4 linked regions of the Stegostoma tigrinum genome follow. The main gene of each other region encodes a partner of the protein of the gene in region 3 in a complex. Links are inferred from orthologs where the notes say so. Each region holds a gene or a part of one and is shown on either strand. Other genes may lie near its edges.

Region 1 (7,654 bases), on a different chromosome or scaffold from region 3:
CAACAAAGTATAAGTAGAACATAAAAGGTAGTTTTGAATGAGGTGATCTTTACAGGTAGTGGAGGACAAAAGCAGGCATGGACATATTTGCATCAAAGCAATAAAGGCATAGTTGAGTTTCAGTAGCAGAAAGGTTTACCCCATAGATGCAAGCGATATTATAGAGTACAGTACAGCACAGGACCAGTCACGTGGCCCACCAAGTTGCCATTCTAAACCAATCCCATCTGCTTGCATATGGTACATATTCCTACATTCCCTGCATATTCACATCTTTAAAAATATGACTATTATAAACTGCCAGCATGCTTCTACATAAATGCAGAACGTAACAAGAACATCTTACAGGTTAACGTAAGTGCTATTTACAATAATAACAATAATAATAATAATTATTTGAATTCAGAATCTCAGTTCAGATTTGAAGAGGTTGAAGTAAATCTGGGTCAGCAAGATTAAACTGGAGATCCAAATACAATGGCTTCAGCCTTGTTCTGACTGGAAGCTGACCCAAGACTGAGGATGATACCATCAGAAGGCAACATGCAAGTAAATAAAAGGAGGCTTCCATGGGTCTTCTGAACAAAGGCATAATGGTATAGGAAAAAAAGTAATCACTGGAGATAATCTAGTTACAATCATGTTAGGAAAGGTGGAACAAAGAAGTCCCATTTACTTCGAACCTGGAACACTGGTGCATTTTGAATTCCCAATTTTCTTTTGTGTACCAATGACACAGCTTCTACAGAATTCCTTTCACAAAATTTTCCACCTCACCCTCCTCCAAGAGGAGTTTTAAAACTTTGCATCACTAACTTCTATCTGATAACACTTTGTGAAGCTAGGTTTAAAGCACCAAATATATATAAGTTTAGTTCGGTAACTTGCAACGTGTTTAAAATGCAAGACTGCGATACTCTAAGACTGTGTGTACTGACAATGAGTTAGTGTACATGAAAACAAATAAGTGGCTGGAAATAAGACTGAAGAGTGAAAGATACAACAATCTAAGGGAGGTAGCAATAATATTTGAAAGGTAAAACATAAGGTGAGGTTTAACTATATAAAGAGTATACACAGCAAGTGTAACCATAATCCTTAAAGTAGTAAATAACTACACATTTCATAGATGCGGGACACACACAAATGCATGCTTTTAGCAGGTGAAATTCTTTCCAGAACAAAAATATCAATATGGTCCTAATGACTGACGTTCGGTTAGTGATACTCATTTGGGTCACAGGGTTTCAAATTTAAGATTCATTCAAAGTTCAGCATAAAAATCAAGACTGGCAGACCAGCTCAGCACCCAAATGTGTCCTGCACCATGGAGATGCTGTAGCCCAACTGCCCCTCAGGTGGATATAAAGGGTGTCATGGAACTGTCTCAAAGAAGAGCATCAGAGAACGATTACTTGGCCCAACACATTTGTTTGTTGAAGTTTTGTACGCACAAACTGGGTGTCAGGTTTTCTTTGTTACAAGGATGAAACTTTAATGACTGTAAAGTGCTTCAAGATGTCCGTACTTGCGCATTATATTTCATAAATTCACTTTTTCCCTCCCACATATTAACATCTGAGATCTAAGAAACAAGCATCTTACTGAAGGGCTGAAACAAGCCTACAGTGCCGATTATGCACTTCCATTTCGATAAGAATGCATCAGCATGGTTTGCAAAAGCCTATCACAATGAAGCAATACCCCCTCAGTATAGTTGGGAATGAAATATAAAAGTTGTGTGGAAATTATTTTTGAATGCCAAGTTTCTGAACACAAATAAGACCGATCTTCCAACCAAAATGCTTTCGGTTGTTTTTGATACTAACAACCTCATATACTAGTACTAATTGTAATAATTTTAAAATCAGACTGTTCGAATATAAATCCCTCAGGTAATATACTAGCTGAAGTTCAAAAAGCAAAGTGTCCCGTCAAAATGTAAATTTATTAAGAAGTCGGTGGCAACAGTTGAGTACTCCAGATACCGGCAGCGTGAAGTCCTCATGTCAAAGTCGCAGCTGAGCCACCCCCAAACCCACGATGATCGTAGAAGAGGAAACTGGTTAAAATGCAGTACACGAATGTACTGGCTAAAATCGCACTTGTACGCCAAACTTCCACAACAGGAACAGCAGTATTCGAAAATGTTATGGAAGACTCGCTTTAAAGGAACAAATCAAGTCCGCGCCAAAATGCCCATGGCGGCACGCGAAAAGGACGGAGACCGGAGCAAGCCGAAAGACTACCCAGTGAAGCTCAGGCCAGAACGGGAGATTGAAGGAAGAAAAACAGGGCAGCGTAGTAAAACAGGGGAGACGAAGTCGAGGGAAAAAAAGGAGAGAAAGTCGCTCTTACCAGCCGGCCGTGGGAATGCAACCGGAAGCGAATAACAAGCCGACAAGAAGCGTCTCAACAGCATTTATACAGTAAACACTAAACACAATGAAATAAATCCCAGAGGGGAGAGATCCATTGGGAGTTACAGCTCCGTCGTCAGCACCTTCTACCCGCCTCCAGCCTGTTTTTTTTACCTTTTTGAACAGGTCGGGCCCAAGTTTGGTCCCGACTCTGCCCTCAATCGCTCAGGCCGCTGAAGCCAGCCACTAGGCCGCGGCTCGCGCACACCGTCTCTGCCGAGAAAGCGGGGCTCACGACAGCCGCCTCCTCCTGCAACGACTTAGTTAAACCTAACGCGGTCCGGTTTGGCAATCCTTTCTTTAGAGTAACAACAAATAATAAAATAAAATACCTGGTTCTTAGCGTAAGGTTTGCTGATGATATGGTGTCTCTTGTTTCGGATTTTACCCCCCCCTCCTCCTGTCGCCGCCGCCATATCTGAATCCGTCTGCCTACCAGTCGCTCGCGCCGCTCTCTATTTCCTAGCAGCCGTGTCCGGGAAGAGGTGGGGGGGGAGGAGGGACGGAGAAGGGGGGAATCCACACTTGTAACGTCACACGCTTTCTACCGTCTCCCGCAACCACGCACTTCGCAACAAGCATTCAACCAACCATCCGCATGCGGGCGCGTTCTCGCTCACTCGCACGCAAGTGCCTTCCCTCAGGGGAAGGGTTTTTCCCCCAACGCACGATGCGCGCTCAAGAGACAGCATGCGCCAAGCCTGCGTCACCCCGCCGCCAGACGCTGCCATTGGCTCCGCCCAACAAACGGCCCGCAAAGCATCAAGGGAGCAGAAGGAAGATTAGCGCATGTGTTAACTTCCGCTTTGCCCTCGTCTCCCCACCATGTTTCTGTGCTTCTGGTCTTTAGACCAAAATATTTCTGAGGATGGAGATCGGGAGGGTAATACGGGTGTACGAAATCTACATTCTCTCCTCAGGATGTCCATCTCTGGCTCTACGAACGTGATTGACTTGAGCTCAAGTGGATCAGTGAATTTTTCAAAGGGATTCATTTGGCTACAGAATCTGCGTGCTGATCAGTTTCGTGCTTGAGGGAAGGGGAATTACTGACCAAAACTTACTCAAGGGAAACCAAGATTACCTTATTGAAAATGTGAAGTGTGTAAACGGTCATTGGTTTATTCCAAAATATTACTAGACTGAAATCAGACAGTGTTATCTAACATTGAGAAAGCAGCTACAGAGGGTCAAGAAAGTTTCGCCGAAATATTATGAGTCATTTTACATCACAACTGTGTCTCCACCTCATTACAGGCGTCATGGATTGCGTGTAAGGACGTTGGAAGTCATGACGAGTACTGTAGAAATGTAAAATTTAACTTTGTACTGATGCGAATTGACTTATGATTTTTGGCGTTTACTTATGTGTGTGGTGGCAGCAATCGTTGAATTTTTTATCCTCTGGTGATTCCAAACGCAACCTACTACCGATGCTGTAATTCAAGCAAACAAAAAAAAGTCAGGTGGCAGTGAAGGGGGAGAAATTAATTTGGTTCTAGTGAAAGTTCTAAACTCAACTTTCACTTATACGTTCTCCTTAAAAACCATATGACCATAAGAAATGGGAACAGTTGCAGGGCACATTGGCCCTTGATTGTGCTCTGCCTTATTTTTCACTCATTCAAGGGAATGTGGGCATTGCACGCTCGACCAGCATTTATTGCCTGTCCCTAATTTTTAAGTGCCAACCACATTGCTGTGCATCCAGAGTCAGATGTAGGCTAGACCGGGTAAGGACAGCAGATTTCCTTCCGTAAAGGACATTAGTGAACCACATGAGTTTTCCTGACAAGCAACAATGCTTTCATGGTCACCAGTAGACTCTTCTTTCATGTGTTTTTTTTTCATTGAATTCAGATTCCACCATCTATCATGGCAGGATAATAAATTTGATAGGAGCATAGCTCATGAGACAGTAAGATATAGGAGCAGAGTTACGCCATTCGAATGAGTTCTGCCATTCAATTATGGCTGATATGCTTCTCAACGCCTTTCTCCTGCCTTCTTCCTGTACGTTACTAATCAAGTTCCTATCAATGTGTCTTTCTTAAAGACAGTCAATGACTTACCTGCACAGCCTTTTGTTGTATCAAGTTTCACAGATTTACCAGCCTCTGTTCTGAGGGTCATTCTTTAATTCTGAGGCTGTGCACTCAAGTCCTAGTCTCCCCTGCAAGTGGAAACATCTTCTCCACATCCCCCCTCTTCAGGCCTCTCAGAATTCTAAATTACGATACCCCCTCATCCTTCAAAACGCTATCTAGTTCTTCAAACACTTGTTGTATGACAAGCCGTCCATTTCCAGGATCATCCTTCTGAACACTCCCCCCCGAGGCAGGGTCATCCTTCCATACGTACAGGGCTCAAAATTGCTCACAATATACCAAATATAATCTGGCCAGAGCCTCATACAGCGTCCTTAGTACATTCCTGCTTTTGTATTCTATTCCTCCTGAAATGAATGCTAACATTGCACTTACCTTCTGAACTGAATCTGCATGTTCACCTTGAGAATCCTGAACTAGGACTCCTAAGTCCCGTTGTGCTTCAGATTTCCAAAGCCTTTCCCCAGTTTACAAAGTAGTCCAACATCTATTTTCCCTATCAAAGTGCACAGTTTCACACTTTTCCATATTATATTCCATCTGCCACTTCTTTGTCCACTTTTCCAGCCTATCCAAGTCTTATAGCTTCCCTCAACGCAGCCTGCCCCTGCACTTATCTTTGTGTCATGTGCAAATTTACCAACTATGCCGTGAGTTCCTTTGTCCAGATCATGATGTCTAACATGAATAGTTGTGGTCCCAACACTGACCCATGTGAAACTCCATTGGTCACGAGCTACCATCCTGGAAAAGATCCTTTTATGCCCACTTGCTGTCTCCTGCCAGTCAGCCAGTCATCTGTCCATTGCCAGTACCTTTCCCAGAACACCATGGGCTCTTATTTAGCAGCCTCCTGTGTGGTACCTTGTCAAAAGTCTTCTCTAAATCCAGAGAATCCCTTACACTGACTCTCCTTTGTCTAACGTTCTTATTGCTGATGCCCACTTTCCTCTGTTTTCTTTGTAACCCATCATTCCCCTACCGATCAAGAATCTATCTGTCTCAGCCTTAATTATACATAAGGAATAACATTAGTTCTTAGTTTAACATTTGTTGTTAGGGAATTACTAGACTCTAAATTCACTTATACAAAGATTGAACACCTTTAAAAGTTTTTTAGATTTGTAGCTTGGGTTGTGGATGAGTTTGTAGACTTGCTCACTGAGTCGATCGATTTGTTTGCAGATGTTTTGTCACCCTGCAAGGTATCATGGTCAGTGCGCCTCTTGTGTAGTTTTGGTATTCTTTCCTGCTTGTTATTTATATGCCTTGGTTTACTGGGGTGATTGGCATTATTTCCAGTTCTGTTTTTCAGTGGTTTGTATATTGGGTCCAGTTCAACGTGTTTATTGATGGAGTTCTGGTTGGAATACAGGTCTGCATGAATTCCCTTGCATTGAACACCTTGAATTGTTTCAGTTGACCCAAGAAAGATTGCACAGATCTACCATAAGGTGAGAATTGGGAATGTTTGGCAATGATTGCACATTGGTCACCAATCATTCCTTATCAGCTACTAAAGCAGTCAATATCCATATGCAGGAAGACCTAGACAACTTTCAGCATTGAGCTAATAAGTGCCAAATAGTATTCAAACTGCAAGTACCATCTTGACTTGTAACTGTAAGTCCTTCAATTCCAAGGGGTCAAAATCCTGGAACTCTCTAACACCCCAAGAACTGCTACAGTTCAAGAAGGCAGCTCAGCATCACCTTCTCAGGGGGAATCAGAATGGGCAAATAAATGTCAGTCCAGCCAACAACAGCCACAACCCACAAATGAATAAATAAAATTACACTAGACAAACCTGATTCAATTTGATCTTCATAGTTTTAACCGTCAACTTGAATATTGAGTCTGATCTGGGCACCATACTTTTGAAAGACCTTAAGTCTTCAGAAAAGATGCATAAAAAATTTAGCATAATGATTCCAGGGATGAGGAACCTGAGTTACTTTGACAGATTTGAGAAGGTTGAGAGAAGATTTGATAATGTATTTGAAATCAGGAAGAATCAAGACAGAGCATCTTGGGAGAAATGGTCTGCTGTTGGAGAATGATTGAGAACAGAAGGATACTGATTTAATCTGAGAAGCACACAAACCAACAGCAACATGCAGAAAAGTATTTTTATGCAGTAATTGACTAAGAATTGGAATGCATTGCCTGCGAGTGATAAAGACAATTTTGACCATGACTTTTATAAGGCACATTTACAAGGCGCCTAATTAGATAAGCACCTGGAGAAGAAAAGAATGCAATGCTACAGGGAAAGGATTAAGGAACGGGACAAGATGAGTTGCTCTTGTGGTGAGTGGGCAGATACTTATTGAGCCAAATATTTGCTTCTTGTATAAGAACAAATCAATGATTTTATATTTTGCAGAATTAACTGAAACAACGGACGTAGGAATATCTATGGATGTTGTTGTATGAATTTCCAAAAGATGTTTGATAACTCCTTATTAGCTAAATTTGAAACTCATGGAAGTGTACACAATTGTAGTTAGGAAATTGGTAGAGTGGGAAGAGACAGAGTAGGCCTGAGTCATGACTTGCGATATTCCACAAAGATCTGTGTTGGGGCCTAAAGGCACATCTATTAAAGAACAAAGCCACAAATCCAGCATACATGCAGTTTAAATATGAACATATTCTGAATAAACATAATTATGGAAAATAATATTTACAATGAACCTAAAAACTTCAGAACATTATCCATGATGAAAAGTATCAAGCAGTGAAGGTTCAAAGAGATGTGGGCGCTGTTTACATGGATCTAAAATATTAGAAATTAGAGTAGCAGATGGAGTTAGAAGAACTCAAGTTAGTCAATAAAAAACCCTTGTCAGATCACAATTGAGAGTAGTGTGAGTAGTTCTGTGCACATCTTAGGATAAATTGCATTGCAGGGTACACAGTGTAGTTCAGCATTTAAATACATTAAAATGAAATCCAGAATCCAAGGATGAAATTATGAAGAAAAACAGAAAGTGATTTGTTCAAAGTTTAAAATATTAAGGAGAATGATTAGGGAAGGTAGAAATTAATTATGCTGCCTGGGAAGGCTAGTACTTTGGGGTGTCAGCTTTAAAATTATAGCTAGATCTTCTCAGAAGTGAAATA
Region 2 (7,698 bases), on a different chromosome or scaffold from region 3:
TTCTCTAAATTTGAAGAAAGACTTCACTACTCCTGTAGCTAAATGGTTTGCAATAAAAGCTAGCATTCTGTTAGATGTCTAATAGCTTGTTGCACCTGACTGTTAACTTTCAATGAGTTATCAAGAAGGACACCTTGGTCCCTTTGTACATCTATACATTCCAAGTGGTTTCCATTTGAAAATATTCCACACATCTGTTTCTTCTACCAAAGTAGGTAACTTCTTTACTTTTGCCCACATTATATCCCATCTGCCGTGTTCTTGCTCACTCACTGAGCCTTGTCTAAATCCCACTAAGCAACATTTTATCTTCCTTACAAAACATGTTCTCATTTAGCTTTGTATCAAATCATAATTTGGAAATACAGTTTTAAAATAGTGATGACGAAGGATAGAGCGGATCTAAGTTAAAGTTCTAAATTGAAGGAAGGCCAATTTTGACAGTATAAGGCAAGAACTTTCAAATGTTGGTTGGGTGTGGATGTTTGCAGGTAAAGGGATGGCTGGAAAATAGGAAGCTTTCAAAAATGAGATAGCGAGGGTCCAAGAGAGAATCTGTTAGGGTGAAGGGCAAGCTTGATCGGTGTAGAGAATGCTGGATGACTGGAGAAATTGAGGTTTTGATCAGGAAAAAGGAGGCATATGTCAGGTATAGACATGGAGTGAATCCTTAGAGTATAAAGTCAGTAGAGTATACTTAATGAGGAAAATCAGGAGGGCAAAAAGGAGACTTGAGATAGCTTTGATAAATAGATTAAGGAGAATCTGAAGCAATTTTATAAATACATTAAGGACGAAAGATTAACTAGGGAGAGAACAGGGCTCCTTTTGATTAGCAAGGCCACTTAAGTGTGGAACCGCAGGAAATGGGGGAGATACTAAATGAGGATTTCACATCAGTAGTTATTGCAGAGAAGCATATGGAAGATAGGCAACATAGGGAAATAAACAGTGACATCATGAAAAATGTCCAAAATACAGAGGTGGTGATGCTGAATGTCTTAACATGCACAAAGTGAATAAATCCCCAGGACACGGGACAATCAACATAGCTTTGTGCTTGGGAAATCATGTCTCGCTGACTTGAATGAGTTATTTGAAGAAGTAACAAAGAAGATCAACGAGGGCAGAGCAATGGACATGATTTATTTGAACTTCAGCAAGGTGTTCAACACGGTTCCTCATGGTAAGCTGGTTAGCACGGATAGATCAAATGGAATACAGTGAGAACTAGCCACTTGGATACAAAACTGGCTCAAAAGGTACAAGACAGAGGGTAGTGGTGGAGGTCTGTAACCAGTGGTGTACCACAAGGATCAGTGCTGGGTGCACTGTTTTTTGTTATTTATATAAATGATTTGGATGTAAACATGGGAGCAATGATTTGTAAGCCTGCAGATGACACCAAAATTGGAGGTGTAGTGGAAAGCAAAGAAGGTTACTTTAGAGTACAACAGGATCCTGATCAGAGCGGCCAAAGGGCCGAATAGTGAAAGATGGAGTTTAATTTAGATAAATGTGAGGTACTGCATTTTCCCTGGAGTGACGAAGGCTGACGGATGACCTTAGAGACATTTATAAAACCATAAGGGGCAGTGACAGGTTAAATAAATAAAGATCTTTTCCCAGGGTAGGGGGGTCCAAAACTGGAGGGCATAGATTTAAGGTGAGAGAGGAAAGATTTAAAGAGGACCTAAGGGGCAACCTTTGCATGCAGAAGACACTGCCGGTATGGAATGAGTTGCCAGAGGAAGTGGTGGAGACTGGTACAATTACAACATTTAATAGACATCTGGATGTGTATATGAATAAAAAGGGTTTAGTAGGATGTGGGCCAAATGCTGGCAAATGGGATTAAATTAATTTAGGATATCTGGTCAGCATGGACGAGTTGGACCCAAGGATCTGATTCCGTGCTGTACACCTCTACGACTCAGACTCTAAGTCATTGATACGCCACACACATAAATATTGTGAACAGCTACGGCCTAAGTATTGGTCCTTGTGTTACTCCACCAGTTACAGCCAACCAGCCTACTACAAAAATAGTCAAATCAGAAAAACAAAAATCACAAAACAGAAAGACTGGTTGGCAAGTCAACTGATTGGGGTCTCGGCCCGAAACGTCAGCCTTCCTGCTCCTCTGATGTTGCTTGGCCTGCTGCGTTCATCCAGCTCTGCACCTTGTTATCTCAGATTGTCCAGCATCTGCAGTTCCTGCTATCTCTGATTGAACAGATGTTGCCATGGAGAATGCAGCAGGGGTACTGCAAGCTCCCAGCTAATTCAAAAACTCACAACGCTTGGGTATTCTTCTTTTATTGGCAAACAGAAGGGTCCCTGCACGGGTGTATGTCACCTCCAGCAACTGAAGATCCACAACTAATGATCCTAAAGCGGTGGCTGATGTGACTTGTATCGAGTTAACCGATAAATTCCAGAACATCGTCGGGCACTGAGGCTACACATGCCAGATACTGGCTAATCAAATGAAAAACAGCAGCGACAATACTCACACACGGTTAGATGGCACTGTGCAGCACAATCCTAACTACTAAACCAAGCAGTAGCGTAACTGAGGCCGAATACAAAGGCACTTGATGCCGATGGAAGTGTTGAGAGACTACGGGTAATTCAGGCGTTTAAAAGGACAAGCCGTTGTGTAGGAAACTGTCAACGGCGGTGTTAGCGTTCGGCCTCCTCACCACAGGGCAGTGATAGAAACTGCCCACTGGCGACATAGAGGCCGCATATTTGACATAAACTGTACAAAAAAAAGAGAAATCAAAGAGGACGCCGTTTTGGGATCACTGACCTCCCAACCCCAACCCCAACCCCACCAAGAAGGCGGGGGGGAAATCAGGGTTTTTGTTTTTCAAGGCTCTCCGTTCAATGACACCAAGCAGCGACCTACCTCAGCGGGAAACTCATCGCAGCCGTAACAGAGCCCGACTGCACTCAACGAAACCTGGAGGACGTACCAGCGCCAAGACCCACCTTCCGACTCTCCTCTGTGCCCATTCGGCAGAATCGGGCATCACCAGCTCCGCTTACGATAGGACAACCTGCAAACCACATCCTCCAATTGGGTAAGAGAGGTGTCAATAATGTGATGTTCGCCAACCGTCAATGGAAGCTCGCTGAGCGCGGTTACACATCAGAGGCCGTGGGCGGGGTTCGTGGCGCAGAGAGTTTTGCTGGGAGGTGCGGAGGCCATAGGTAATCATTCCAGACAGACTACAGACAACTGTTCTCACAGTATATAAAATACTTTGCAAAAACTGGCAGTCAGAATTCAAAAGTGGTGTTGATTGTATCAGAGTGCATACTAAACTGTGCATCAACCCACCGAATTCAACTCGAAGGTCAAAACTGGGAAGGATCATAAACCAGTAAAGGCATCGGAATTTACTGTGGAGAAAGACATGGCAGCTTGGGAACTCCGGAAAATAAATAGGAATATCTTGAAAAGAGTCCACGTTACAAAAGAGGTGGTGCTGGAGTTATTAAAATACATAAGGTAGATAAATTCCCGGGACCTGACCAAGTGTATTCCAGGATGTTGTGCGCAACTTCGAAGATAGGAGCAGGAGGCGGCAATTCAGCCCTTCATGCCTGCTCTGCCATTCATCACACATAGCTAATCATCTAACTCAATAGCCTAATCCTGCTTTCTCCCCATAACTTTTGATCCCATTTGCCCCAAGTGCTATATTATCTAGCCACCTCTTGAATACATTTAATGTTTTGGCATCAACTACTTCCTGTGGTGATGAATTCTACAGGATCACCAACTCTCCGGGTGAAGAAATGTTCCATCTCCGTCCTAAATGGTATATTGTAAATCCTTAGACTCGGACCATTGACACACCCAGACTCAGGGCGCACCCATCATCGGGATCATCTTCCCTGCATCTACAGACTGGACCTGTTAGAATTTTATTAGTTTCTATAGGATCCCCCCTCATTTGTCTGATCTCCAGCAAAAACCATCCTATTCTAGTCAATCTCTCCTCATACGTCAGTCCCATCATCCCTGAAATCAGCCTGGTACAAAACTTCACTGCACCGTCTCGAGATCAAAAGCATACTTCTTCAGAAAAGGAGACCAAAATGGCACACAATATTCTAGGTGCAGCCTCACCAAGGCTCTGTATAACTGCCACAACACATCACTGCTCCTGTACTCAAAACATCTTGCAATGAAGGCCAACATACTATTTACCTTCTTTACTGCCTGCTGCACCTGCATGCTTAACATCAGTGGCTGGCACACAAGGACACCCAGGTCCTGCTGCACACTCCCCTGTCCCAATTTACAGCCATTCATGTAGTAATCTGCTTGTTTGTTTTTGCTTCCGAAGTGAATAACCTTACATTTATCCAAATTATACTATAAATGCCTTTGATTTGCCCATTCACCCAACATGTCCGACCATGCTGAAGGCATCTACATCATTGTTACAGTTCACCCTCCCATCAAACTTGGTATCATAAGAAAACTTTGAGATGTTACATTTTGTTCCCTCATCAAAATCATTTAATATATTGTGAATAGCTGGGGTCCCAGCACCACTCCCTATGGTATCCCACTAGTTACTGCCTGCCAATTTGAAAAGGGCCCATTAATCCCTACTCTTTGTTTTTTCTCTGCCAAACAATTTTCTATCCATCTCAATATACTTTCCCCCATCCCATGCACTTTAATCTTGCACAATAATCTCTTATGTGGGACTTCTGTCAAACACTTTCTGAAAGTTCAAATATACCACATCACCTAGCTCCCCCTTGTCAACTCTACTAGTTACATCTTCATAGAATTTCAACAGATTTATCAAGCATGATTTCTCCTTCATAAATCCATGCATTCCCTGTCTGATCCTGCCACTGCTTTCTAAATGCCCCATTATAAAGTCCTTGATAATGGATTTGAGAATTTTCTCGACTACCAACATTAGGCTTACTGGTCTATAATTCCCTGTTTTCTCTCTCCCTCCCTTTTTGAATCTTGGTGTGACATTATCTACCCTCCAATCTGCAGGGACTATTCCAGAGTCTATAGAATCCTGGAAGACGACCACAAATGCTTCCACTACTTTTCGGAGCTAGGGAAGAAATTATGGGCCCCCTAGCAGAGGTATTTACATCACCTATAGTCATAGGTGAGGTGCCATTATTTAGGAAAGTCTGCAGGAAAAGGCAGGGAACTACAGTCAGGTGAGTGTACCAATGGTGGTTAGGTTGTTGGAGGGGATTCTGAGAGACAGGACCTTCAGGCATTTGGAAAGGCAAGTACTGATTAGGGGTAACAAAGTGTGAAGCTGGATGAACACAGCAGACCAAGCAGCATCTCAGGAGCACAAAAGCTGACGTTTCCGGCCTAGACCCTTCATCAGAGAGGGGGATGGGGAGAGGGTTCTGAAATAAATAGGGAGAGAGGAGAGGCAGACCGAAGATGGAGAGAAAAGAAGATAGGTGGAGAAGAGAGTATGGGTGGGGAGGTAGGGAGGGGATAGATCAGTCCAGGGAGGACGGACAGGTCAAGGAGGCGGGATGAGGTTAGTAGGTAGGGAATAGAGGTGCAACTTGAGGTGGGAGGAGGGGATAGATGAGAGGAAGAACAGGTTAGGGAGGCGGGTACAAGCTGGGCTGGTTTTGGGATGCAGTGGGGGGAGGGGAGATTTTGAAGCTTGTGAAGTCCACATTGATACCATCGGGCTGCAGGGTTCCTAAGCGGAACGTGAGTTGCTGTTTCTGCAACCTTCGGGTGGCATCATTGTGGCACTGCAGGAGGCCCATGATGGACATGTCATCTAAGGAATGGTGGGGGGGGGGTAGTTAAAATTGTTCGCGACTGGGAGGCGCAGTTGTTTATTGCGAACCGAGCGTAGGTGTTCTGCAAAGCCGACCCAAGCCTCCGCTTGGTTTCCCCAATGTAGAGGAAGCCACACCGGGTATCACTGATTAAGGGTAGTCAGCATGACTTTATGCATGGAAAAACATGTCTCACAAAGTTGATTGAGTGTTTTTTTTGAAGAGGTGACCAAGAAGACAGATGAATGCATAGCAGTACACATTGTCTACATAGACTTTAGCAAAGCCTTCAACAAGGCCTGGGCATGGTAGACTGCTTAATAAAGTTAGATCTCAGGGGATCGGGGGGAGCTGGCCAACTGGATACAGAATTGTCTTGACGATTGGAGACAGATGGTAATGGTAGAAAATTGTTATTCAGACTGGAAGCCTGGGACCAGCAGTCTGCTGCAAGGATCAGTGCTGGGTCCACTGTTGTTTCTCAATTATATAAACTATTTAGTTGAGAATATACAAAGTATGGTTAATAAGTTCGTGGGTGACACCAAAATTGATGGTATAGTGGACAGTGAAGGAAGATTATCTCAAGCGAACAACAGGATCTTAATCAGATGGGCCAGTGGGCTGAGGAATCGCAGTGGAGTTAAATTTAGATAAATGTGAGGTGCCGCATTTTGGTAAGATAAACCAGGACAGAACTTACAGTTTATGATGGGGGCCTGGAATGAGTTCTTAGGTACATAGTTCCTTGAAAGTGGCGTCACAGACAGGGTGGTAAAGAAGGCAATTCGCACACTTGCCTTCATCAGTCAGAGCATTGAGTACAGGAATTGGGATGTCATGTTATGGCTGTACTGACATTGGTAAGGTCATATTTAGAGTCCATATAGACAAGTTGAGCTGAAGGCCTGTTTCTGTGCTTTATGATTCTATGGCTCTAAGTCACATTCAATTACTGGGTGGGAACCAAAGTTTTTCAATCACATCTAGAGTTAGGCAGGGCTGCTCACTCTCTTCTGCCTTGTTTGCATGTTGCAGAGAGCCTTTTTTTCTGAATCCATCAGGAAGGATGTGAGCCTGAGTATGATGACTATTCCAGGCAGGAGAGGCCTGCAGGTCAAAGTCACCCTGTATCGGGATCATATCACCATTTTCTGCTTGGATTCACTGTCAGTGTATAGAATCATGAACATCTGCGACCAGCTTGAACTGGCCTCATGAGTAAATTAAGGCAACAGCAAGATCATGTTCTTTGGGAACTGGGCTGACCGATTTTTTATCCCCATCAAGCAGTTTATCTGAAGGTTCTGGAAAAACGTAGGGGGGGTGGGGGTATATACCAAAACTTTGAAGGACGTCATCACCAAGGTGAAGCAGAAACTGGGCAGGGGTGGGAGTAACATTCCCATCTATTGCAGGTAAAAACCTCATCATCAGGTGAGGTAATCAATATTACTGTATGTGGTAAAGGTCTGGCCTATTCCCCAAACCTGTATCACTGCAGTCACCCAAGGCATCTTCCATTTCATTTAGAGGTGAAAGATGGACTGTGTCAAAAGGGACACCATGTACAAAATTCTAGTTAAGTGGGGTGGGAAGGGCAGAAAACATACTCAACACTATCTTCATCCTGTGATAATGGGAACTGCAGATGCTGTAGAATCCAAGATAAAAAAGTGTGGATCTGGATGAACACAGCAGGCCAAGCAGCATCTTGAGACGCTGCCTGGCCTGCTGTGTTCATCCATCTCCACACTTTACTATCTTCATCCTGATGGCCACCTTTGTGTGCTATGCTTAGTCCCTCAATACGCAAACACCATATGTCACGTAGTGCTGATGTTCTACCTGACCCTGTATTACAAAAAAAAATGCACCTGGCCT
Region 3 (7,852 bases):
AGCTGTGGGAGTCGGTGGGCTGGAAATGGACATCAGTTACAAGCTGGTTGCCTGAGATGGAGACTGAGAGGTCCAGGAAGGTGAGGGATGTGCTGGAGATGGCCCAGGTGAACTGAAGGTTGGGGTGGAAGGTGTTGGTGAAGTGGATGAACTGTTCGAGCTCCTCTGGGGAGCAAGAGGCGGCGCCGATACAGTCATCAATGTACCGGAGGAAGAGGCGGGGTTTGGGGCCTGTGTAGGTGCGGAAGAGGGACTGTTCCACGTAACCTACAAAGAGGCAGGCATAGCTGGGGCCCATGCGGGTGCCCATGGCATTATCTCTAAATTTTAATGACTTGTCTTGATAAAAAGACTGAAAATGTTTTGTTTTTATTGAATCCAAATTTAACACTAACAAATTTGTATGTCATTGTGTTTAATTCTGCTATCGTCCAGCTCCAAATTTTAGTAGATATTTTCTGATATAGAAAGCAGAGCCAAAAATTCATCGGAATTTGCTATTCAGGTTTGGAACATGGAGGCCCTATTCTATACTGCACACTCCTCTCCTTGCAGCATTGTCAGTGTATCTAACCCCTGTGGATTGCAGTGCTTCAAGAAGGTACTTTACCACTTACAGAGAATTTAGTGGAGGTACTGCTGACTAGGTCAGCATTGCCACATCCCATGAGTGAATTTTAAGAATTCTGACCCAGATTCAAATCATGTTGAAAGAGGATACATGAATCCTGCATGACCCAAAAGCTATTAAAAACTCCTTGTTAAATTTAAGCGGACGCACACCTCACAGCGCCAGGGACCTGGGCTCAATCCCAGCCTCAGGCGCCTGTGTGCGTTCTCTGTGTCTGTGTCTGTGCTGATTTTGTCCAGAAGTTTCCTTCCACAGTTCAAAGACGTGCAGGTTAGGTGAACTAGCCATGGGAAATACAAGTTTACAAAGATAGGGTGGGGTGGTGAATTTGGGTGGGATGCTCTTTGGAGAGTCAGCATGGACTTGTTGGCTGAATGGCCTTTTTCCACACTGGGGCTTCGATATTTCTACAATAGAAGCTAGCAGCTCCAGTCTGAGGAGAAACAAAACTTCTTTTAATCCCTAGAAAATATTTTAAGATTGAAAATAATTTTCAAACAAATGCTTTTTTAAAAAGAAACTTTACACCAGGGACTGGGGCAGCAAAAGAAAATTGCAGATATTAACTTTAAAGACATAATACATAAAGGGAGTTGGTAGACCAGTGGCAAAATAGCAGTCCCTAAACCCTTTATTTGATGGCCAAAGAAGCTAGTGCTGCCCAAACATACCATACATCAAGCAGGTGGCACGAAGTGCATACCACAAAATGTGACTCATTAACAATAAGTTGCATTTATACAGAATTCAGAGTGGAATCAAAGAGCCAAGTAACCAGCTGCAGTGCTGGAATGACGAGCATGAACACAGGAGAATATCCCAAAGCTCTACACAAGGTAACAGGATAAAATTAAACCAAGCCAAATAAATATTACAACAGGTAACTAAAAACTTCAAAAGAAAAAAGATTTAAAGGGAAATCTTAAGGGAAAAAAGAGAGGAAGAGAAAGGAAATGTTGAGGAAAAACACCTTGGATGTACCACTTAATCGTGCAAGTCAAAATTATCCTGTGAACAAACAAATTTGTCCTGCACAATTGTCAAGATGACACAGAATCATTGAAACCCTACAGTGTGGAAACAGGCCCTTTGGCCCTCCACGTCCATACCGAACCTCAGAACAGCCCACACAGACCCATCCCTCTATAAACCACCTAATCTACACATCCCTATGGGCGATTTAGCTCAGTGAATGTCTCTTGAATGATAGCACCAACATCATTCAGCAGAAAAAGGACACTTCAAAATCAAACGACCTAAAGTTCTGTCACTGAAGAACAAAATCAAAAAAGTTAATATTTGCACTTAAAACATCAACTATTCTTTGCTCCCCACATTCTGGTTGCATGATATATTGGCCATATTTAATCAAGTATCCATAAAAAAAATCTGAACTTCATATCAAGATGATAACAAGTTTACTCCACCATCACTGACAAGAAACTATTGTAACTGCGTGGGCTGCTAACTGTAGAACTCACCAAGCACTACAAAAGTTGTGTTAACAGTACTAGCTCCTCATACTGTCTCCACTGGGTGAAATGAGGGAGAAAATAAAAGGAGAGGTTTTTTTTAAACAAGAAAACTGTATTTTTAATGTTGAAATACAGTCAATTGAAACAAAAGTACGATCCCAGTAACCAGTCAGTCTCATTGACACTATTATAGGAAAGAAATTGCACTGCACTAAACTTTCCTTATATCTTGAACTGGAATAGCCAGACACAGATTAGATGGGCAGACTAAAACTGAATTGTGGAGATGTATGGACTTCTAAATTATAGACGCTGGAACTGCTTTTCAGTGTTGGTAACGACCCGAGAGTATCAGGTGCTATTTGAAGATACTGCAGAACTTTTCAGATCATTGAGCGACAGGAAGGGGGTGGGGGGTTGAGAGAACAGAAACAGTTTCCTGTCAGATTCTCGTAAATTTGTGTCCCTTAACGGAGCGAGGGGAAAATAAGTTACCGGTACAGCCACAATGTACAATGGTCTATCTACGAAGTGAACAAGTTAAAAATCTAAAATTATGATCCCAAAAGAACCAAAACCCTTTCCTGGCACGATAGAGTTTGAACGTAAACTCGTGTTCACCGCGTTCTCATCCATTTACCAACTGTAGCCCCGCGCTCCCACAGGAACCACACACACAGATAGACAGACAAATACCGGCCACCGGGTCTTGTTTCCGAGAAAACACACTTGCTTCGCAGAACTGATCGGCGCAAACTCAAACTGTGCTTTCCATTTTGTTTTTTAAGAAAAAAATAAAGTTTCATATATTTCATTTTACCTCACGTAAGGGCCCGCCGCCGCCGCCATTGCCAACGCACTCACGTGACCAACATCCAAGCCGACCCACTGCACGTGACCATCCATGGGTGCCACGGCCCTCTGCACGTGACTTCAACGGTACTGTTCGTGTCACGTGATTGGCCTTTCATTATGGCCGCCTCCTGGAAGGTGACAGGTGAGTCTATTTGGTGAGAGATAGTAGGAAAGGTGGATGCTAGAGAATCTGAGATAATGAGGTGTAGGGCTGGATGAATAGAGTATACTAAGTAGCATTAGAGGAGCAGGAAGGCTGAGGTTTCGGGTCTATCCCTGAAACCTCAGCCTTCCTGCTCCTCTCTTGCGTTTGGTGAGATTGGTTTTTCTTAAAAAAATATGCACATTAGTTTTAGTCTAGATTTCTTTTCCGCTAGATGGTAATATTCATTCTATCATTATTTTCATTTCTCTACGAGTAATCGAACGCTTTTCTTGCACCAGCGAATTCTTATAAATGGCTATCCCTTGCTATTATTCTTTATCGAAGGCCACTATAGAGATCTGGCTGAGAAAATTATTTCTTTTACTGTTTGACTCCGCTAAAATCCATGTTTTGTAAACCGTTCGTCTGATTTTTTTTTTTAAACGATATTCCGACCCCTCCCTCTCGTTTGAATTTTAACTGGACAGTTAGGGTGTGTACCTTATCTATCTGGAACTAAATGAACAGCTTAATCAAACCATTGCTGTGCTGAAAGACTTATTTGACTATCAGTTTACGTTATCTACCAGTGGTTTGCTATATTTGACTGACACCCCTAATATAACAATTGAAATTTGAGTACTAAACTCTTGATTGTTAATTTTATTTTGCCTGCTTGGACATTTTGTACTGAGTATGTGCAATCTGTTTTCTGAACCCCGCTGTTGCCAATGGGTTGCTGTCAACTGTTTCCATCTAAATACACTCTCAAACTTTCCTTGTCTCATTCGAGTAGAATGAAATTTTGTAAATTTGGTTTCAAATGCCACTGTTTGATGTGCCCTTGGAAAAATAACTAGGAGTTGGTGTCTTTGAAACTGATTACTTGCTGACATTAAACTTTTTGCGTAGGGATTATCAAAGATCGGGTTTTCAACATTGGCCAGTCACTCTCACTGGTTAAATTTAAAACAAAATTTACTCCCAAATGTGTTTAAAAAGCCATGAAATTCCTGACTAAAAATCAAATCAAGGTATTAATACCCTCTTAACATCCTACGTGTGTATATAACGGTGACGTCACAAGTTGCAAGCATATCTTTAGACTCTAAAATTCGAAGAACAATGAAAAATTGCTGGGTTTGTTTCTGTTCTTATGAATGGACTATATTCACTGATGGTCGTTCATTTGTTATTCGTGAAGAAGGAGAAGTACATACATTGTAATGACATTCACTTAAATTTTGCTTTTCAACAAAACACTGGTTAAAGTCATATGTAGTGTGTTAAATGCATTTAGCTTTCACTATTATGGTAGTTAAGTAGCTGCAGATACAGCAATAAACATCAATTCTTGAATCTCATTTCTGAAAAATTGAATCAGTCTGTACTCAGTGGTAGATCCCTCACTAATCAGTCAGTTTGTTGGTTCAAGTCCCACTGTTGAAAATTAAACACAATAGGTATCCAGATCAGTGTGATGCTAAAGGAATGCTACACTGCTGGAAGTTTGTTATTTCAGAAGGGAGGTTTTAAAAAAGGCCCCATTTGATATACTGGGTGAATGTTGAAGATTTATAACATCTTTTGGAATAAGAACGGACAAGTTCCCCTTAGTGTTAAGGCTAATGTTTATCCTTCAACTATCACTAAACAGATTAGCTAGTCATTATTTCATCGAAGATTGTGTAGCCTTGCTGTTTGCCAATTGCCTACTAAGTTGCCACAGTGACTACATTCAGTATTTACTTGACTGTAAAGAGTTTAGGGCACCCTGAGTTTACATAAGGTGCTGAATAAATGCAAGTTCTTTCAAACAATAGACTAATGATGAGATGTAAAAAAAATTGTCTAAACTTTAGGTAATTGTGATTTCTCATTTGTCCTGAATGAGCAGTTTTTGATGATTTTTACTTGTCTTGAATTCGTGATATTCAAACTTAAAGTTTTTGTTTACTGATTTTCTCCAATATGCCTTGGTATTTTGCAGTCCAAGGTTTGCAAACTCATTTTCTCTGTCCTTTTATTAAAATCTAGGTTTTCAAATTACAGTTAGAACTTGGTTTTAATGAACATTAATTATAAGCTTCATTTTTAAACAAATCCTAACTTTGAGAACTGATGGTAGTGTCCTGGTGAGTGTTGCTGAACAAAGAGACCTAGGGATACAGATTTGTAGCTCCTTTAAAGTGGAGTCACAAGTAGACAGGATGATGAAGGCGGCATTTGGCATGTTTGTCTTTACTGGCCATAACATTGAGTGTAGCAATTGAGATGCTGTGCTGTGGTTGTACAGGACACTGGGGAGGCCACTTTTAGAATACTATGCACAATCCTGGACATCTTTCTGTAGCAAAGGCATTGTTAAATTTGAGAAGGCGCAGATTTACAAGGATGTTGCGGTGTCTGGAGGATTTGAGTTTCAGGGAGAGGCAGCATAGGCTAGGGCTTTTTTCCCTGGAGTGTCAGAGGCCAGGGGGTGACCTTACAGAAGTTTATAAAATAATGAGATGCACGGATAGGGTGAATAGTCAGGTCTTTTCCCCTAAGGTGGGGAAGTCCAAAACTTAAAGGGTTTAAAGTGATAATGGGAACTGCAGATGCTGGAGAATCCAAGATAATAAAATGTGAGGCTGGATTAACACAGCAGGCCCAGCAGCTTCTCAGGTGCTCCTGAGATGCTGCTGGGCCTGCTGTGTTCATCCAGCCTCACATTTTATTATTAAGAGTTTAAAGTGAGTGATTTTAAAAAGGACCCGAGGGGTTTTTTTTTACGCACAGGGTGATGCATGTATGGAATGAGCTGCCAGAGGAAGCCATTTAGGCGACTTTAAATTACAACATTGATATGAGTAGGAAGGATTTAGAGGGACATGGGCCAAATGCTGGCAAATGGGACTAGGTCATATTGAGATGTCTGGTTGGCGCAGACCAGTTGGACTGAAGAGTCTGTTTCTGTGCTGTATGACTGAACAGCCATCCCTCCAGGTTTCCACTTCCAATAAGAGGAATTGTATTTTGTGAAGAGGTTTAGTTTTATCCATATGTACAAAAAATAATCAGCTACTGCATTTAAAATCTGTCATAATTTTCCTAAGAAAGAAAACTTCCTGCTTCCATATATCTAATCAAATATCTTGTTGCTCATTCGCATGCTTTGTTTCAAGCTCAAAAGATATAACAAAAACCTTACCAGCAGAAATAGGAAACTAATCTATGAATTATATGTTATTCTTATCTGTGGGTGATGGTAGAAGAGTGAATTTCACATGTAGCACTGTATTTGGACAGAGATCTTGAAATCAAAATGTTTAGTCACCAGGGAGAAAAAAGACAGTTGACGAAAGAACAGAATAAAATGCCCAGAATCACAAAGGGTAGGAAGTCTGAATAATTCAGTAAAGAAAAACATTTGGTGTAACTTTATTGAAGCTGATTTAAAAGGCTATGGAATATTGGTCTCTATACCTCAAGAGAGCTGGAATACAAAGAGGTACAAGTAATGTTACAGTTGAACAAAGCTCTGATTTAGGACCCAGCAAAAGGCACTCAGAATATCAGTGGAAGATTAAAGATCATTTGAAGATGATTAAAATAGGCTAGTAAGACCACACTGTGCTGTGGTGAAAGAACCCAGAACTAGGGAACACAACCTTAAAAATAGAGCTCAGCTGTTCATAGGTGAGGTCTGCAAGCAATTCTTCACATAATGGCTGACAGAAGTCCAGAACTCTGTCCCAAAAGGCTGTTGACTTTGGGTCTGTTGAACGTTTCAGAACTGAGATTGATAGATTTTGTTAGCAATGGCATATATGGAATTAAGATACAGATCCATTATGATCTTATTGAGTGACAGGAGAAGCTCAAGAGGCTGAATGGTCTACTCCTGTTCCTATGTCACAATAGAGAACACAAAACACAGTGCACAATCAATTCTTGTCTTAAATTTATGAGGGCAGAACTTGTACACTGCATCTGCTGCAGTGGCAGATACCACACATCGTCTATGCTCTTTGTCAATAGAATGTTTGTTTCCAGTTAGTTACATCAGATAGATGGTACATACATCAGGCAGCTGAAGCCTGCTCAGTCCAAGTACCCTTAATTCAGCAAAGTGATGCTGTCGGTAGTACTATAACGTTAGTGATTCTGCATCAGTAACTACTTGTTTTCAGTAGAATTTTTGTATTTGTTGCTTCTTAACTTGTGGCTCCCTGCATTCAATCTATTCTAATCTGATGGCATTTCCAAGCAGTACTTGGCATGTCTAACAAACTGTTGAATTTCACCCTTGTAATTGATTTACTGAGACTCCTTCGGCTGATTCACAAGTGGATGAAAAGCCTCACTATAACATTTGGCACTTTTAGGTTATAATCTAACTGTAACTAATACAGTTTACGTTACAATCTCTATTCCAGGTCTGGCAGTCAGTTAGATCTACCCAGTTGCAAAAGTTGGAAGAAAATTCAATGAAAGGGAACATTCAACAACATAATTTCTGCCAGATGAAATGGAACCCCAAACGCTTTTCGGGATTCTACAATAATTAAAACTTTCCTCAGTACGGTGTACATCATAAGAAAAGTCTTGCAGCAATGTTGAAAAATCCTGTCTTTGTGGAGTCCTTCATTGTTTTCATCATCGTGTTGTCTGTCCACGCTGTGATCTGGAACATCTTTACCTGGTGCACGCTTGCCTTGGCGATTCAGGCTTATTATGTTCAGCATAAGTGGGACAGGTTAC
Region 4 (7,288 bases), on a different chromosome or scaffold from region 3:
CCGAAACGTCAGCTTTTGTGCTCCTGAGATGCTGCTTGGCCTGCTGTGTTCATCCAGCCTCACATTTTATTATCCCAGTTAATTCGTATTAGTTTTTTGCAACAAGCAAAATACCTGAAGATAGTAAGCCATGTGTTATATTTCAGAGTAAAAGAAAATCTTGAAGTCCGTTTCTACTCACTCTGCTCTCTGGGTTGTGCAATCGTGTTTGGATTTCTGAAGAGTCATGAAGATGCCATGTGACTCGTTGAAAAGTTTACACAGAATTGGTGAGTATATATCTTTGTCGCTGTAGACAACTTGAATGGAGGGCATTCTTGGGGAGCTGTCTGGTGCAGTCTCTGGGGTATGAACAGAAAGGAGGGCTGGGAAATGCAAATGTATGGTCTGCATAAAGCATACCAGACAATAATGCTTTTCAGCTACATTTGATTAGTCAGAACAATTAGAAATGGCTCTCGTAAGGACCTAGTGAATGAAACCACAACATATCACAGCACTAAGCCATGAGTCTGAAAAATTTAACATTTGATTCCAAATCTATTTTCTTAGTTGATCTCAACCAGGGAGCGACCAGTTTCCAAAATATTCACAGTCCATCTTTTATATCACTGCACTTAATCAGAATAATCCAATATTATTCACCAGTTTACCACATACCACCGTGCACTTTTTTATCCAAATCAGTCCCACTGATTGACTCTATCCCCAAAGCAGTATCTTTCTTTTTAATTATTTAAACATTTTGTGACGCTATTTGTCTCAGCTATTCCCTTCAGCAAAGTAATTCATGAGCCCAGTATCTAAAAAACGATGTGCTGGCATTGGAGGGGGCTCAGAGGAGGCTTACAAGAACGAGCATGGGAGGAAGGGTTTGTTGTACGAAGAGTGGTCAAGTACTCTGAATCTGCACTCAAATGGAGTTTAGAAGGCCTTGGGGAGAACTCACTGAAAGTCACAAGATAATGAGGGGCCTAGATAGAGTGCATGTGAAGAAGATCTTTCCACTAGCAGGAGAGACTAGGACCTGGGGCACAGCCTCGGATGACCCTTTAGAACGGAGGTGAAAAAGAATTTCTTCAGCCAGAGGGTGGTGATTCTGAAACTCAACGGCACAGAGGGCTGTGGAGGCCAAGTCATTGGATTTATTTAAGGCAGAGATAGATAGGTTCTTGATTGTTAAGGAGATCGAGGCTTGTGGGGAGAAGCAGGAGAAGATTTAGAAGCATATCAGCCATGATCGAATGGCAGAGCAGACTTGATGGGCTGGACGGCCTAATTCTGCATACACATCCTATGGTACTTCACACTTTAATGACATTCAAATCCTGTGATGCCTTTTTGACACTAACTTTCAAAGCAGTCAAGTCTCATGCAACTGGAGTACCCCCAATACCATGGTGAACCAACCACGCTCCCAAAAAAAGTCTGTACTGTAACACATGGGCTTAATGCTTACCTTAAGCTATTTCTCTATCCTGCTCCCTATGCAGGGTCTGATAGATATGGATCTTCCATTCATTTTACATTATTTCCATTCTTTTCCTTTTGGTTCAGTCAATGAAATTTTTATTCCAAACGATTCATTCTCATGTCAACGAAATGGAAAAATGTAAATGTATGATATTTGCAAATAGATTGGAGTGAACTGTGCCAGGACCGAATAATGCAATGATATTGTACACAAAAATGGTTTTTACTCCCATTTTGCCTTAATATAGCCATCCAATTAATTCCATTTCTCTAATCTTCCATCAACTTCCATATTTCTAAATATTATGATTGAACCCATTTTCATCACTTTTTTCAGGCAGTTCATTTCAAGTCACAACAATACATATTATGTCACGTTGCTTTTGGTTCTTTGTCAACTTCTTATCCTTACTTACTTTTATCACGTGTTGGAGTGTACGCAGAAGTATCTCCATTTAGGCTTTAAAATCCGATGCCAAAATTTGTCAGGTTAAAATGATTGGGACAAGAGCAATTTCTCATTATTCTAAATTACTTAAGGTTGTTTAAAAATAAATAATCAGAAAATCACAGTACCTGTCTGATCATGCCGTGTCGGATACAGCAACATTTGAGTAGGGCCCCATTCAAACCCGATGAACTCTCCAACATCCACTCCTGGAATATCCTAGGAACAACAACAACAGAGAGAAAATTATTTATTTGAAACTCTGTTGTTGGAGAAATATTTTACTGTCTCTCCGAAGAACCGCTGATCTGTCAGACATTGATTTTCAAAAGAAATGTCTGTCCTCATCAGGTGAATACAAAAATACCCTTGAACGTGACTGAAAGATAGCAGGTAAATTCACTTCAACATTCTACCCAACATTTGTTCAACCAGCATCACTAAGACCGGAACATCTGGTTATGTTCATGTGTGTAGGTTCTAACTGTGAGCAATTTGGGCGTCGCATGACATCAGCAACAGCACTTCGAAAGGGAAGGCCGACGTGCATTTTAGTAGCATATCCTCGAACATCCCAATTTGGCTTACAACCGATTAAGTATTTTTGAAGTGTCGAACATGTTGTAGAAAAGGATAATCAACGAATAGTTACACCACAGGAGATTAATTGGCCCACCAGTCCGCGTTGCCTCTGTAAAGAACCTCGGCCATTTCTACTTTCTCAATTTTCCCTGCAGTTTCGCAAAGAAAATACTCCGCGGACCTCAAAAGAGTTTGGGGTGTTTCGAGGTTCTGTTTAAGAGTAGGTCTCCCTCTCTAAAAATGTTCTACCAGGCTGCGGTCCCGGGTCACACGGGAACAACCATCCGATTGTACAACAACTGCTCCGGAGACACTCTTCCTGGCACTGTCTAATGGACGATCGGAAAAAAACTTTCTTCCTCTGTCGAATCCCACCTCTTCGTCTCCCTCACCCTCACCATTGGGATCGGCTCATATTCCTGAAGTGAATCCTCCATCGCGCTCCCTTGGTCACGCCGCGCCGCCCGCTCATCAAGGACCCCATCACTGGGGCGGCCTCTTAGTTGCCTGATCAGCTGATTGTATCCACCACTGAACCACAAACACGCGGTTTCAACAAATGCTGGGCCTGATCTAAATGTTGTCAAGCGGCGACGGTTGAAGAAAATTCCGCTAGTTTCCCAGCATTAACGAACATCAGATAAAACGTGGTCAGTGCTACAGACTGGACCAAGATGAAAAACAGCTAATAGCCCAGATTCCGAAATCACCTTTAGCGAGTCTGTCCTGTTCCACTGATGGAGCAAACCCACAGAGTCAGTTGTATCTTAGCGTCTTCAATGTAATGAAACGAACTTTTCACTGGAACATCATAAAACAATATTTGACACATTAAGAGATATTAAAACAAACCAAAAGCTTGTATCAGAGAAACTATTTAATGAGCAACCTAAAGAAGGAAAATAAGGTAGGTGGGATGAGGGAAGATATTCCAGAAATTAAGATCCAGTCACCGTCACACAAGGGACCAGAATCGAAGATGACATTATTTGGAGGTGGTGGAAGGACTTGATAGTAAGGTTGAAAATTTTGAAATCAAGACATTGCTGGTGTGGTAGACAACGTCGATCAACAACCAGGAGATGGTGTGTAACTTGGTGTGAGTCAAGACTTAGGTTTAACCTGAACTCAAAAGAGGCAACAATGTTGGAGAACAACCAGTATTGCTTATAAATGGTCAAGTCTAGAAGTAAACAGGGAGCATGAATGGTTTCCATAACAACTGAGCTGAAAAAGATGATATTAATAAGTAGAGATAACAAAGTGTAGAGCTGGATGAACACAGCAGGCCAGGTAGTGTCAGAGGAGCAGGAAAGCTGACGTTTCAGATCTGGACCTTCTCCAGAAAACGTCAGCTTTCTTGCTTCTCTGATGCTGCTGGGCCTGCTGTGTTCATCCAGCTCTGCATTCTGTAATCTCAGAGCATCAGCAGTTCCTACTATCTCCATACTAATAAGTTGTCTTAGTGATGGCACAGATCTATGAGAACATAAACTCATCTCAAAGTGAAATTTAACACCAAGGTTCTTAATCTCAAGTTGCAGCCAGGAAGAGGGAAGGGGTCTAGCCAGGGAACAAAGTTTAAAGCAGAAACCAAAAATGACGGCTGCAATCTTCCCAATATTGGAAAAAAAATTCTGCACAGCTATGCACATATCAGGTGATAAATGTCTCATAGATTAACAACAGTGGAGGAGTCAAGAATGACGAAGTGGATTTGGGTGGCATGTACACATGAAAACAAATGTTGTAATCACTGAGGGGCATAATGTAAATGAGAAATAGGAGAAAGCTGAGAAACGATTTCTGAGGGGACTCCAGAAGTAACAGTGTGAGACCAAGAAGAGAACATGTGATTTTTAACCGTGTTTAGATATATAAAAACACAAGTAGGTGACAGTAATCTCATCCAGCTGGATGACAGGCAAGAAGAGTTTTTTTATTCATTAATGGGATGAGGGCATCACTGGCTTGGCAGCATTTCTTGCCCGGGGGCAGTTCAGAGTCAACCACATTGTTGTGGGCCTGGAGTCACATGTAGGCCAGACCAGGTAAGGATGGCAGTCTCCTTCCCGAAAGGACATTAGTGAACCAGATGGGCTTTTCCCTGACAATTGATTCATGATTGTCATTAGATTCTTAATTCTAGATATTTTATTAAATTCACATTCCACCATCTGCCAAAACAGGATTTGAACCCAGGCCCCAGAATGTTATCTGGGTTTCTGGATTAACAGTTCAGCAATAATACCACTAGGCCATTGCCTCCCCTCAAGAGAGGATAATATGGTCCACTATGTCAACGGCTGCAGAAGAGTCAGGAAGAATAAGGAAAGAAAGTTTACTTTGTAGCAATTTACCTTTGCATACAGTTGGGAGAAGTGGCTCTGAGAGTCTCAGGCATCTGGTCAAATGGGCAAGGAAACCTCCTGCCGATGAACACCTACTACCTTCCCTCAGTTGAGCAAACCTGTGCTCTAATGTGTTGAATATGACTTGGTGGAAGCATTGAGGATAGGAAGGGCACAGATGATCCCTGCCCAAGGACTGAACGTCCATTAACAGGCTGCCTTGGTAGCACCACAATTGACCAAGCTAGCAACATGTAGATGAGGGTAGTGCAGTTTATATAGTCTACACAGACTTCGGTAAGATCTTTGACAAAGTCTCACTTGGCAAATTGGTTAATTTGTTCATGGGGTTTGCTCATGGCTTAAGAGCTCATGGGATCGGGGGCAGTTTTGGAAATTGGATCCGGAATTGACAATGGCAGGAAGTCTGGGGGGGTGATAGTTGAACGGTGATGTTGAACTCACACTTACGACATTTGTTAGACCTTAGCTGGAATATTGTGTACAGTTAGGAAAGATGTGTATGCATTGGAGAGACTGCTGATGCAAATTTAAATGAATGGATCTAGGAATGAAAAATTTCAGTAATGAGGACAGAAAGAATAATATAAACCCTACAGCGTGGAAGCAGGCCATTCAGTCTATTGAGTCGACAGTGACCCTCCAAAGAACATCCCATCCAAACCCACCACCGTACCCTATCCCTGCATATCCCATGGCTAATCCACCTACCTTACAGATCCCTGAACTAAGGGCAATTTAGCATGGTCAATGGACCTAACCTGCACATTTTTGGATTGCAGGAGGAAACTAGAGCACCCAGAGGAAACTCAGGCAACCTTGGGGAGAATGTGCAAACTCCAAACATACAGTGACCCAAGGCTGGAATCAAATGCGGGCCCCTGGCACTGCATTGCAGCAGCACTAACCACTGAGCCACTGTGCTGCCAATAGTTTGAAGTTGGGACTGTTTCTCCTTCCAGATAAAAAGGCTGATTAAGATTTGATCGAAGTTTTCAAAATCTTGAGCAGTCACATAGATTAGGCACTGAGAAGTCATTCACATTAATAAAACTGAGGTCATAGATATGTAAAAGAAACAGGGTGATGTGAGAAAAACATTTTTCACACAGTGCGTAGTTGGGATATGGGATGCATTCATTGCGTGGAAATCTGGTGAAGGTAAGTTAGGTTGAGACATTCAAGAGGTCATTGGATGATTATTTGGATGGAAATAGTGTGCCAGAATATAGGGAAAACGCAAGAGGTTGGTGCAAGGCAGTGATGCTAATTTGAAGAGCTGGTGCAGGCATGGGGGGATGAATAGCCTCCTTTTGCACTGTAACTATATGATTCTATGGGATTTTTGTTACTGGAAGTCTGTGTCCAGTGTTATGCCAAATGGCTCCATGCTGGATTCTTACTATTGATGATCTAGACATGAGTCTAGGAGGTAAGATCTGTAGTATCAGAGATGACAAGAAAATTGATGGTGTGGTAAATAACAAGAAGGAAAGCCTTACACTACTAGACTATTTTGCTGGGCCAGTCAGATGAGCTAAATGGTAGCAAATGGAATTTTTTCTTGAAAAGTGTGATGTATTTTGTAAAGACTAATAAGGCAAGGGAATAAACGTTAAATGGTAGGACTCCAGAATATACAGAGGAACCTTGGTGTGCATATCCATAGATTCAGCAGGATAAGGTAGCTGTAAGATAATTGCCATTATTAGTCAAGGGATTAAATACAGGTGCAAGAAGTTTAAATGGAGCTGTATATTACGTTAGATCATGAGAGAGGTGCAAAGGAGATCCACTAGGACATTGCCTAGGCTGGAGTAATTCAGCTATGAAAAGAAACATTAGATAGGCTCAGAGATAATGGGAACTGCAGATGCTGGAGATTCCAAGATAATAAAATGTGAGGCTGGATGAACACAGCAGGCCAAGCAGCATCTCAGGAGCACAAGCTGCTTTGTTTTCTTTGCAGCAGAGAAAGCTGAGGGGAGCTGATTGAGCTGTACAAAGTTGTGAAAAATTAGATAGAGAGAAATGTTTCCCCTTAGTAAAGCGGTTAGTAACCAGGGACATAATTTTACGACAAGAAGTTTAGAGACATTTAAGGGGTAAAAGAAAGAGGATAATGGATATCTGGAACCCACTGCCTAAAAGGATGGAAAAGGTAGTAACCCTCAAAACACTTAAGGAGCATTTGGATGAGCGCGCAAAGTCCTAGGGCTGTAATTGTTTATTATCTATGTTAATGAAGAAGCAAAAAGGAATGTATCCAAATTTACTGACGATACAAAAATAGGAGGCATGGTGTAATTGAGTCATAAGGAATTTTCAAGGGATGTAGATGAGTTAGTGGACAAAAACTTTGGTAGGAAGAATGTCTGACATTACCCGAAAGAATTGTTCACACTAGGTCACT

What was found.
Region 1: nup188 (region 3) and nup153 share a complex: the UniProt entries of both Homo sapiens proteins name them as parts of the nuclear pore complex. The link is inferred for Stegostoma tigrinum from reciprocal best matches to the Homo sapiens genes NUP188 and NUP153.
Region 2: nup188 (region 3) and cetn3 share a complex: the UniProt entries of both Homo sapiens proteins name them as parts of the nuclear pore complex. The link is inferred for Stegostoma tigrinum from reciprocal best matches to the Homo sapiens genes NUP188 and CETN3.
Region 4: nup188 (region 3) and nup85 share a complex: the UniProt entries of both Homo sapiens proteins name them as parts of the nuclear pore complex. The link is inferred for Stegostoma tigrinum from reciprocal best matches to the Homo sapiens genes NUP188 and NUP85.

The regions. Positions count from the first base shown.
Region 1 is NC_081355.1:33,648,528-33,656,181, reverse strand, and holds the start of nup153 (nuclear pore complex protein Nup153), read right to left. Parts: upstream 3,019-7,654; 5' UTR 2,837-3,018; coding exon 2,753-2,836; intron 1-2,752. UniProt on the Homo sapiens protein: Component of the nuclear pore complex (NPC), a complex required for the trafficking across the nuclear envelope. Functions as a scaffolding element in the nuclear phase of the NPC essential for normal nucleocytoplasmic transport of proteins and mRNAs.
Region 2 is NC_081356.1:93,259,592-93,267,289, reverse strand, and holds the start of cetn3 (centrin-3), read right to left. Parts: upstream 3,011-7,698; 5' UTR 2,932-3,010; coding exon 2,915-2,931; intron 1-2,914. UniProt on the Homo sapiens protein: Plays a fundamental role in microtubule-organizing center structure and function. As a component of the TREX-2 complex, involved in the export of mRNAs to the cytoplasm through the nuclear pores.
Region 3 is NC_081382.1:33,834,775-33,842,626, forward strand, and holds the start of nup188 (nucleoporin NUP188), read right to left. Parts: upstream 3,004-7,852; 5' UTR 2,956-3,003; coding exon 2,927-2,955; intron 1-2,926. Other genes in the region: dolk (dolichol kinase), read left to right, coding at 7,705-7,852. UniProt on the Homo sapiens protein: Component of the nuclear pore complex (NPC), a complex required for the trafficking across the nuclear envelope. Required for proper protein transport into the nucleus.
Region 4 is NC_081375.1:37,005,142-37,012,429, reverse strand, and holds the start of nup85 (nuclear pore complex protein Nup85), read right to left. Parts: upstream 3,006-7,288; 5' UTR 2,941-3,005; coding exon 2,902-2,940; intron 2,853-2,901; exon of another isoform or gene 2,753-2,852; intron 2,715-2,752; exon of another isoform or gene 2,574-2,714; intron 2,141-2,573; coding exon 2,050-2,140; intron 1,589-2,049; exon of another isoform or gene 1,460-1,588; intron 366-1,459; coding exon 182-365; exon of another isoform or gene 165-181; coding exon of another isoform or gene 147-164; intron 1-146. UniProt on the Homo sapiens protein: Essential component of the nuclear pore complex (NPC) that seems to be required for NPC assembly and maintenance. As part of the NPC Nup107-160 subcomplex plays a role in RNA export and in tethering NUP96/Nup98 and NUP153 to the nucleus.